Caenorhabditis elegans: one gene and its partner. The protein of the gene in region 2 purifies or fractionates together with the protein of the main gene of each other region. This does not show direct contact. Each region holds a gene or a part of one and is shown on either strand. Other genes may lie near its edges.

Region 1 (5,304 bases), on a different chromosome or scaffold from region 2:
ATTCATTCTGCAAGATCTTCCATTGGAGCGTTTCGAGCGAAGTGGGCATGGAAGTGATGAGCTTCTAGGAGGAGGTTCACAATTCGATCGACATATACGATCTGGTCTCAGCTACAGGCCAATGCCGAATTTAATGGCACGATATAGGTATGTGTGGTGATGTAGATAGTGGCTACTCGTTTTTTTGCAAATTGATTGAGTTTTGCATGACGCAAATAGCGCTATACCTAACAACATTGGTGCCAAAAATAATCACATTAACTTTGTGTAACACGTTTTTGAATTAAAATATAAAATAATCTGCGCATGTTCGTGACGTATAGAATCAAGTTCAGTGGAGAGAACACGTAGACACTTGAAAATTTTGAGAAAGGGCAAGGAAAGTACAGTACTTAAAACTATAGGTACTTGAAACTTTTGAACTTCCAAATTTGAGTGTAAAGTTTAAACTACATCTGATGGAATGGGATGCTGAAAGACTTTGGTGTATGTGCCAGCTCCAAGCCTCCCGCCTGTTTTTTAAAGTTTATTCAGGTGTTTGAAGAAGGCTGGAACGTTTGCTTTAGCTGTACGTTGCCTAGTTGTTTTTTTACAAAAATAGTAATTTCCCGTTTCGGCCACATTTTTGTGTTTTTTGGAACACTGGGTAATTTTGGAAACTTCGGATTTGAACTTAAATTCAACTTAAAAATTCAAAAAGAAATAACTTGGTTGATCTAAAATAGTCTTCAACTAGAATGTAAATAAAAATTTCAGTTAGCTGGCGTTTTGTGTGCCTGTTTCCCAATTTGGCTTAATTTTTGGGTATGGCAATTTGGACTTAAAGTAAGAATTGCGTACCTATTTGGATTCAAAGATAAGATTATCAAGTTCAATTAAACATTTAAATATAAACCAATTTTTCAAAACTTTCAGAATGATGTCCGGCTAAAACTCGAGCACCGTGTCCCCCTTCCATGTGATCCAGCATCTCTCATTTCTTGGGATCTCCACGTCTTTTATCCTACTTTTCTCCTGTCTCTCAATGTTTCTGTCATGACATGTTCTCCAATCAAACGTCATCTGATAATATTCCAAATATTCTTCATTATCTCAATTCCATAACTATTTGTTTCCAGAGGTACAGAATAAGTATTGATTTTTGATCGATAAAGAAAAATAAATAAATGCTTTCGTCGTTAATTCGATGGTTTTTCATTCAATCACTCTCGAAATTTCACTTTCACAACGAAAATGAACTGACATACTTGATGATGGTCATATGATCAACTGATTGACCACTACAAGTCATTGAATTTGTCTTAAACTTGAATGAAGACCTGAATCACGTTTCTACGTCATTCAATATGATTTGTTTCCTATCACAAAATTCACATCTCTGATTTGATGTTAACCTGTTATTGTGGTAAAATATTGAATCGTTGAATCATCGATTTTAGAATAAAAATTAATAACGAAATTATAAACAATGTTGGATTTCGGTGTGGGGAATGTGGTTTAAGACACTGCGAGTCAATTTCAGTCGTGTATTGTCCATTTGATGTACAGAGATCGCAGCAAATGTATCTCAAACAAAAATGTCGCCACACAACTTGTACTATAGAAATTGCCGGCACAAGTCATTTGGGATTGAATTCGAGCTTACTCGGCTTGTCACCACACCACACAAGCCCTTATCATTTCAGATTCTACTGCCCGCCATTTTCCGTTAGGCTTTTTTCTTTTGACGCAATTCATAACTTTTTGATGCACCATGTCATAACTCTTTGTCATCTTCTCGCACACATTGCACAGTTTTCTGTGGCAAGTTCCACATATCTACAGAAGTCTACCATAGTGCTACAGAAATCTGAGACTTTTTTTTTTGAAATATCGACCTTCAACTCAAATTTCATAGTCAGTCAAAAACTATTTAATTCTGGAAAAATTTCGGATTGAAAAACAGAGCAAGTTAAGACTAGAACTATATAGCCGTAAGCACCAAAGTAACAAGAAGTTTTCTAATGTAAAACCAAGACCTGATGAAATCACAAACAATATCAAATTTACAACTGTTTTTGGTGATGTTTTAAATTAAAAATTGGTTTACTAGAATCAAATGTTGTTCGAGATATTTCAACTTTTCGAAAAAAAATCCAGTTTTTATCAAATCTGACATCTTTTTCCAGATGACGTCTTCCAGACGAGTGGAATTTGATGCCTTGAGACTTGACAAACAAGTCAAAAATGGGCACTTGAAATCAACAAGAAGGCAACAATTTGAAAATAACAAGAAATTATTTATTCTGAAGATCATCCTTTATTTATTCGATCCGAATATCTATTTCAATTGAATCAACATCGCCATGAACAGAACAGAAAAAAAAACTAGAGAAGACGTCGGTTGAGACCGCCCAGCAGTTGACAAACAAACTTTTTGAAAGAAATTTGAGAAAAAAAGAAACGAAAAAAGACGTAAAGTGTCTTCTCAAAAAGATCCACCCACTTCGCTTCACCGCGAACTGTTCCAGTCTCTTTTTGAAGAAGTTTAAAATTATGTGGTCAACTATTTTCTTTGTATTTTCAACATTTGTTTTAATTGTGGATTCAGGAAGTGTTGGATGTAAGTTTTTTAATTCTTATTGGACATTAGATTGAAACATGAATTGAGAATGAAGTTACCGTCAATCTGAATACTATTTTACCTTGTGTATTTGATTAATGGATACTTAGATGTTTATACAGTTAAGTTTATTATGAAAATACTTGAAGTTAAATTAGCCTGAGTTGTTTCATATTATGCAAAGTTATTGAATAAAACTCTGGTAGGCAGGCACATACGATTCCAGGTGCATTAGCCTACCATCGCTTGTATTTCATAGTCTATTGGAAATAAATTACCATGCAACTTAGTTGGTATTCCAAACTACAATAAACATATGTTCCCCATTAAATTTCGAAAGATTTCTTTTCAGTATGCCGAACCGAGTGCATTGAGCAAAATTCTCGAAAAATCGTTCGAGTACACTTGAAAGATCAATTGGTGATGGCTGGATTGTGCAATAATAACACACAACAAACTGGATCAATTGTCACACCATACGTCTGTCACAGAAATATCGGATTGTGGACTTTGGATGAATTGGTAAGGATCCTTTTAAATTTTATATTTGCTCACGCGAATCTTAGAGAGATGAATTGCCGGTTTGTCGGAATTTTTTAATTCCGGCAACTTGCCGGTTAGCCGATTTGCTGGAAATTTTAATTTTTGAAAAATTGCCGATTTTCCGGAAATGTTTAGAGGGTTTTTTATAACACGAAAACACTCGAAATTTTTTTCCCGTTTTCGTTAGATATTTTCATAGAATTTGCTTACTTTTCAAAATAGATGTAGGATTAAAATTGAAATTCTGATATTTCCAAAACAAGGGCAAAACCACAATTTGCCGAAATTTTTCGGCGTTTGCTGGAAATGTTCAATTCTGGCAATTTACCAAATTGCCGATTTGCCGGAAAAATCGTTTGCCGCGCACACCTGATCTGAATCTCATTATCTTCTAAATATTTTACTTGTTTTCTGAGTCGTGAGACCACCCGTATTTGATCACTCGTGACTTTTTGCAAAACTTTTAATAATAAGAGATATTATCAAGAGTTCAAAAAACCTTGAACTAACTATTTTCAGGACGAGGAAGGAACCGTCAAATTTGAAACACTTTGCCCCACACCTGAACAGTATCCTTTGGAGCTCCGTGCTACATGCCCACGAGTTGATGCCCAACACGATGACACCCCGAATGAAATGGACATTGACGATTATCCAAACTCTGGAGATACCCCGCTATCAGTGGTTTAATATTTCTAACATTATATAACCATTTATTATGTACTATATATAGAAAGAAAAGGACAGAAAGAAGAATAAATAATAAGAATTCAATCAAATTGAAGTCATTTCAATCATCACAAACCTTGGCATAATTATTATCACAGAGAAAGAGGGGAGAGGAAGAGAGAACACAGGATCTTTTAAAAATTATGAATGCCAAAAGAAAAACTGTGAGGACCAGGGGAAAGCTGTGGAGGAGAGAGAGAGGAGTCAGACCAAGCCATGCGATTCACTAAAACTGAGAATCATAGTTATACAAAAAAATGACAGGAGATAAAAATACATTAAACGCTAAAAAAACGCCCGGAAACATTATTATTATTCTACTATTTGTTTGTTGTGCATGCAAAAAAATAAAGGATTAAATTATTTTTAAGTAAGAATTTTCGTTTCATAGGGATCTTTTATTCGGCAGATCTTGATGGGAAGACTCTCCATTGGCTTCGTGGAATCTTCTGCAGGTACTTGATCTTGTTGTAGAACACTTTGTACCTGAAAGAAATTTATTTCTTCACAATTCTTTTTTTGGGTGTGAATGTGTCGGTTGAAGGTCAGGTCAAACGAATCGAAAGGAAAGGAAGTAACGTTTTAATCACGTATTTCATTCCAAATTATCACATTCATGAGGGGTGTAAGATTCTCTGTTTACTTACCAAATAACTCCTATAACGGAACAAATTGCAACCGAAATGAAATATCCATCAACTGCCACTTCACATACATCACCACCAGACGAGCATTGATCAGCTAACACTTTCGTATTACAAGCGTACAAAATTCTGAAAAAAAATTGGAAGTTTAAATTATCCTAAAGCAGTCGAGATTTTTTCAACTCACTCTTTCGTTCCCTTGACAACACAATCTTTGTAGGTAAACCAATCTGTCACTGCTAAAACTACAGTAACCGGCCAATTTCCTCCCAAATTGTTAAGAGTGTTCAACATGGTCATGTAAGTTCCACCAATTCGAGGATCAGAAATTTGAGCAATGAATGCCATCATTGAGACGAACATCGAGTATGTGGCAAGCTGTAAAAATTTTATAATTTTACAATTACTAAAATATTTTGATTTTTCCTACCTGATGGAAAATGTATCCGGTAATCCAAACAATATAAACCGAGTATTCAAACTTTCCATCGGGAAGACTAAAATGTGGAGTCCACCAAACAAGTGCAGCAAAGACTCCTCCAATGAAAATTCTGTATGGGAAAGCCAATAGGAATACGTTCAATGGACGAGGCCCAGCGGTCCATTTTCCAATCATCCATGGTAACATGATTTGCATTGGTGTCAGGAAAACTCCAATACCTGCTAGCCGATCCTTTGGAATTCCCATTTCGATCAATTTCAAACTGGTCATTCCATCAGAAGCGGCAAACGCTAGTTTACCAGTAAGAAGAATTGCGACCATATAATGAATTGATTTCAGTTTGA
Region 2 (5,983 bases):
AAATCAAAAGACGTGAAAAATTACTGAATAAAATTCTGTGAAACAGAAAAAACTGACACCGGGTAGTGCCAGACCTAAATACAGTAGTTGCTAATTTGCAATTTTACTACAGAATTGCTATCCTCTAAGCCTTCAAAGTGGCCTACGCCTGCTGGTAAGGCAGGCATGAGGCAGGCACGTAAGTCTGAAAAGTTACCTGACATGGAAGCTTAGGAAAATTTTTCTGTCGGTTTCTTGAATATAAAACTCCCAAAAAATAAAAAGGTTCCAACTTTATATTATCAAAAAATTGCTAGATCGTTCAAAAATAAATCTTTAATTTCAGGAATGACGTCAGCACTCGTCTGCGTGCTCTTTATGAAAGTGAAGTTCGAGCATCGTGCAGTTATAATTGGATGCCTTGGAGCAGTACCTGGATTTATTATTGGTGTTCATTATATTGATCCATTATTCAGTGGAGCTCAAAAGAAAATGCTCTTCGTTTCAATTTGGACAGCATTTGCATTTGCATTGGGAATTTTGAATGCTCAAAAGAAGAGATCAACATTCCGTGAAATTCCAGAATTCTGTGCATGGAAAGGATGGGTTCTGTTCTTTACTGGAATTATTGGAGGAATATTTGATGCATTTGCTGGATCAGGAATTGATATTTGCATCTTTTCAGTTATAACTCTCTTATTCCGTGTAACTGAAAAGACTGCAACTCCAACAACTGTTGTACTCAAGGGAGTTATTGCTGTTTTTGGATTCTACTACAGAGCTGTTATGATGGGAGATATTGATATTATGGCATGGAGATATTTTTCCGTTACTGTGCCAATTTCTGCATGTGGAGGTCCTATTGGATCATTCATTGGATCAAATTTACATCGTCAGTTGGTTGCTTCGTTTGTTTATATTTTAGAGACTTTTGCACTGGTTGGATTTTTACTCACTAATCCTGGTTTGGATTTGATAGTTGTCGGTGGTAAGTGTTTTCATAAAATATTAATCACTAAAAACTTGTGGGTTTTTCTGTTTGAAAAATATACAAAGAGGATTTTAAAAAATCAATGAAAACCTTTGTAAAAAATCTTAGATGTGTATCCTATATAGGCGGAAAGGATTAGCGTTTTTTTTTTCAAACTAGTTTTATAATCAAAAAAGGTCTAAACGTACTTGAATTAGTCTAAAATTTTAGTATGTTGTAAAAGAAATACGTTTTATACAGCAAAGAAAATACTATCGAAGAATCGGATCTATTACAGCTCTCATCATTATCGGAGGTTTCGTTTTCTTTTTCTTTGTGTCAAAGGCGGGAGCTTCACTTATGCAGACGGTAATTGAAAATGAGAAACAAAAACAACTGGAGAAAGCTCAAATCTGAATAATAGAATTTCATTTATGTAACGAATGTTTAGTATCTTCTCTGTCTTCTTTTTCTGCCCCTCATGACCACCTGCTTGTTTGCTTGTTTCCATGGTTACCTGCTTGAGATGCAAAGCGAAATATATCGACTTTTACCTCTTTATTCTTCTTTTTTATTTTGCTTTTGAATATTATGAAGCTTCGAAAATTATTTTAATTGATAATAAAATTGAATTTTACATTACAATTGTCTCTCCCTTTTATTTTCTATCATTATTTCCTTTTCTTCTCTGACCACGAGCAAGGTGACAGTTTTATTACCAGACGACGCAAAAATTGGAAATTTATGGATTTCGGTACCTTTTCCTTATTAATCCCTCTAACGCAGGATTAGTTGCCAAATCGACAGGCGGAAACTGTCAAAAAGGGAAGAGTATTGCGTAATTTAAGGAAGGAAGCAGGTCGCTATGGGAATTATTTTGAGTTAGGAAGGAAAGTTAGGATCAAGAAACTTGGACATATTTCGAGTCTTTAATTGTCAGCTAATACCGACTGTCTTTGGTTTTATTAAAATTTTGTCAACTAACAAAACTAACAAAATATTTGTCATGAAACAGTTTTTCTGTCTGCAGAATAACCTGAAAGCCAGCGTGTCAATGTGTAGTAGACGAGTGCAGGACATATTTACAAAATTATCCGACAATTTTTTAAAGTGCTTTTTTCTGCACGATATTCTAGATGTTACTGTTATTAATAAATTTTAAAAATGTAGAAAATTATTTTATTGATTTGAAAATTATGTTCATATTTGTTGATAAATTTGGAAACAACCTCAAGTACATACTGCAAGATAAAATTCAGTTAAAAAAAAGAGTAGTTTGTTAAACATAAAACTGGATAGTTCAAAAGTAATTATCAAAAAGGTTTTCAAAACTATTCTTATAAAACTATATTTTTTCTTCCACTGAACATCTTTTTCTTACACTTTAAGCTTCCAAGACTAAATTAACGTTTTTAATTTATCACCCAATTCTTATCAAATGATCCTAATTAAAAAAAAAACGGTTTAAAAATATATCCTAGTATGTCCCCCAACCATCTGTCAGATTATTGATACTTCATTTCTTTTTCAATCCTTTTTGAACTCTTGCCGAAAAGGTCATTATGACATTCTGTCACTTATTGACACCCAAAATCGATTAATCATCTAGAAAATACTTTGAAATTAAGATCTAAAAAGATCAATGGGCTTCTTTTCGTCATTGTCCAGTTTATTCGGATTGGGAAAAAAGGATGTGAACATCGTTGTAGTTGGACTGGATAACTCGGGAAAGACTACAATTTTGAATCAACTCAAAACTCCAGAGACAAGAAGTCAGCAGATTGTGCCAACTGTTGGACACGTGGTTACGAATTTCAGTACTCAAAATCTCAGTTTTCATGCATTCGATATGGCAGGACAAAGTATGTGAGACACGCTTGAATTTCAAATTTTATATTGAAATTGTAGAATCTTTCGGTCAGTAATTTATAAAACTTTTTCGGCGTAGGGCTCGAAACGGTCATTGCAATTTTATAGTTTCAAGTTCAAAAATTCCACTAATCGATTGATAAACTTGAACAACTAAAGTCGTTTTCCTGAACTGATGAAATATGTGTTAACAAAATGTAGATTTGGAAGTAGGCACGCGTGTAGGCATGCGGTAGGTATGATTATTTTTCGCGCCTTTGTAGAAACGTACAATATAATTTATCGGAGTTTTTGCCAGATTTGGCTGAAGTTGGAAATCTTTTCAGTATTTTTTTTTGTTTCGAAAGTTGTAACTACAAACTGGAAACATTTTCAAAACCACTCTTTGTTTTTTAATTATTAATTTCAGTGAAATATCGTAGTACATGGGAAAGCTACTTTCACTCTTCTCAGGGTGTCATTTTTGTACTCGATAGCTCTGATCGTCTTCGAATGGAGTTGCTCAAAGACGAGTTGATGATGGTGATGGAACACAAGGATGTGGTTTCCCGAGGGGTAAGTTTCTGTCTGTTTCATCATTGGAACAAGTTTATGACTACTGTCACTTTGGAAGGTTGAACAGAGGAAGACAATCATAAAACAGTCAAAGAAATAAAATTTGAGTTTCCTAAAAGCTAGCATTTTACGATTGTGCTCAGTTTCTAGCCTAGAATAAAATAAAATAGAATTGTTTCAGTGAATGGAGGTACTAAAATATTTTTATTAAAAAATCCCAAAAAACATCATAATTAAATCGACTGTTCAAAAATTTTAGAATTTCGAGATTAGAATTTCGACACAATCTAAATCAGATGTTTACTTTCTATCCTCTCCGTACATTTATTAAGTAGAATAGGTGTTCCTGCATACGTGTCTCCCTACTGCCTATGTTTTTTGTACAAAAGTTGCTAGGGTTTTTTGGCAGAAATTTGTATCTGAATAGGTACGTATAAAACATGCAGACGTTTATTTAAACTTTACAGATTCCAATAGTCATTCTTGCCAACAAAATGGACATCCCTGGAGCGATGACTGCTTCGGATATTACGGTAGCTCTAGGTACTCCCACTTTTTCCCTTCCCAACTCTTCGACATATTATGTTTTACAGGCCTAAACCTGTATCGTAGTGGTACCTGGTCGATACACTCAACGTGTGCACTCACTGGAGATGGATTGGACAAGGCTATGCAACAACTTTCAGCTGAAATCACAAAATATATGGAATCAAGGAGAACTTGAGAAATTAAACTGTTTTTTGTAAACAATGCATGTGATCTTGTAAATTCTTGTAGAAAACCTACCAAATTCGTATCAATTGGCAAAGCTGTGTATTTAAAAAATATAATTTAGATTTGGAAACACATATGTTAACTGAAAGAGTAGGACTAGATATGATTTTGTCTAAATACTCTTAAAATGTCCCAAAAATCCAAATATCTAAACATGTTTAAGATTTTTCAACTTTTCCAGTCAACTTTGGCAAATTGCCAATTTTTTTACCAATTTGGACTTTATGAAAAACTTCGGGCAATTTTGTAAATTTGAACAATCACAGCGTTTAAATACATATAATTTAAATATAATTAAAATACAAAACTATTAGAAATCATATTTTCCGGATTTCCAAAATTATGTGCTTTGAAAACTGAGGAATTGCCACTTTTTGTGGACTTTGGAGAAAAAAAAATGTTTTCAATTGTTAAAGATATTTTACCATCAAGATCTGATTTTTCTAACCCCAATTTTATAAATTAAAACAAAAAGAACTGAAAAAAAATCATAAATTTCTAGTCAAAAATTACTCAGTTTTCACTTATCATCATTTTGGACGTTGATCATAAGTTGTATTGTATTGTATTTATTACGATAGAGTTGTTCAACAAATTTGGTAATTTGCCAAAAAATTTGACAAAATAGTCCGAAAAGTTGTTTCAATTAGATACTTGGTTTTTTGTAATATGTTTTAGTTTTAGTATATTTGGTATGAAACTCCTTACAATTGGAGATGATGTTCTTTTTTCCAATGTTCCACATTTTCCTAATAATCCGTTTTATCTTTCCTTGAATACATAAACACATTCTCTTGAAGATCATACTAATTGTTTATATCACAATGTGCTCTTCGTCGGGCTCGCGTCAAAAGATGCGCGAAAAGAAATGCGACACCTCCTCCTCCAACTGGGTCGGCGTTAGGCTTTTTCTTTATTCCTTCCGCATCACGCTCGTAAATCGTGGTATCAAGCTGAGAAGGGCCGTCTTTCTCTGGCTTCGGTATCGGTATCTCATTGCGAAAAAAGCAAAGGATATAAGCACTTAAATTATACAAAAGATTATACATTGTTTGGTGTTTTGCCGCACAGTAATCCGCAGTAAGACAATCCAAGTGGTTGCGCCACCCGTCTGTGAGAAACCAACAAAAAAGTTTCACAAAAGTTTGGAATACCTGGGTTAAATTACATTTTAAAAAGTTTCAGGAAAAAGTACATTCTGCATTTTAGATTTTTTATTTCGTTCATGTTTTGGTAAATTACCAAATATTCCAACAACGTTTTTTTTAGTAATTTAGAGAAATTTAGAATTGAAATATGAATATAAAGTTATTTTTTTGATTCGTTTAAAATTATAGAAAGATGCTTAACAATTTTAGAATATAATCCTCCAAATAATCGGGGAAAATTCTTCAATTGATAACTTTCATACTGTATACTTTCAGAATGCAACATGTTATCTTCAGGCCATTTAAATATTTTTCTATATTTTGAAACTAAATTTTAATTAAAAATATAGGCACAACATTCTGAAATAGGCTATTTTGTAGAAGTGATGCACACACAAACTTTGGCAGATTGTATCTCAGCTGCTATTAGTCTTAATATCAAAAAATGGCAACAAGAAAAATATGTTTTATGTATTTTTCTCTACGACATTGCTGTTGAAAATTTGTTGATATCTTTCAAATGCAGAGAGATATGAGCTTCCCAAAAGAGCAACTACGGCAAAAAATAAAAACTGTATTGTAAAAAATTTTCAAAAATTTGCTTTGAAAATTTTTTTTTGGAAATATATTCAGAATATTCTTTTCAATTTCATTGAAGTTTTCTAATTTTTCCCTTTAAAACAAAATG

The links. The genes of interacting proteins can lie anywhere in the genome.
Region 1: the proteins of arl-6 (region 2) and T26C5.4 fractionate together in Caenorhabditis elegans (co-fractionation; one large-scale study listed by BioGRID). This does not show direct contact.

What each region holds. Positions count from the first base shown.
Region 1 is NC_003280.10:9,247,664-9,252,967, reverse strand, and holds T26C5.4 (uncharacterized protein), read left to right. Parts: upstream 1-2,445; 5' UTR 2,446-2,535; coding exon 2,536-2,602; intron 2,603-2,954; coding exon 2,955-3,124; intron 3,125-3,664; coding exon 3,665-3,835; 3' UTR 3,836-3,920; downstream 3,921-5,304. Other genes in the region: nlp-82 (Neuropeptide-Like Protein), read left to right, coding at 1-147, 916-931; T26C5.3 (Acetyl-coenzyme A transporter 1), read right to left, coding at 4,273-4,360, 4,522-4,647, 4,706-4,896, 4,949-5,304.
Region 2 is NC_003281.10:4,811,423-4,817,405, reverse strand, and holds arl-6 (ADP-ribosylation factor-like protein 6), read left to right. Parts: upstream 1-2,575; 5' UTR 2,576-2,591; coding exon 2,592-2,811; intron 2,812-3,227; coding exon 3,228-3,373; intron 3,374-3,840; coding exon 3,841-3,916; intron 3,917-3,966; coding exon 3,967-4,097; 3' UTR 4,098-4,925; downstream 4,926-5,983. Other genes in the region: F26A1.7 (Membrane transporter protein), read left to right, coding at 326-967, 1,248-1,366.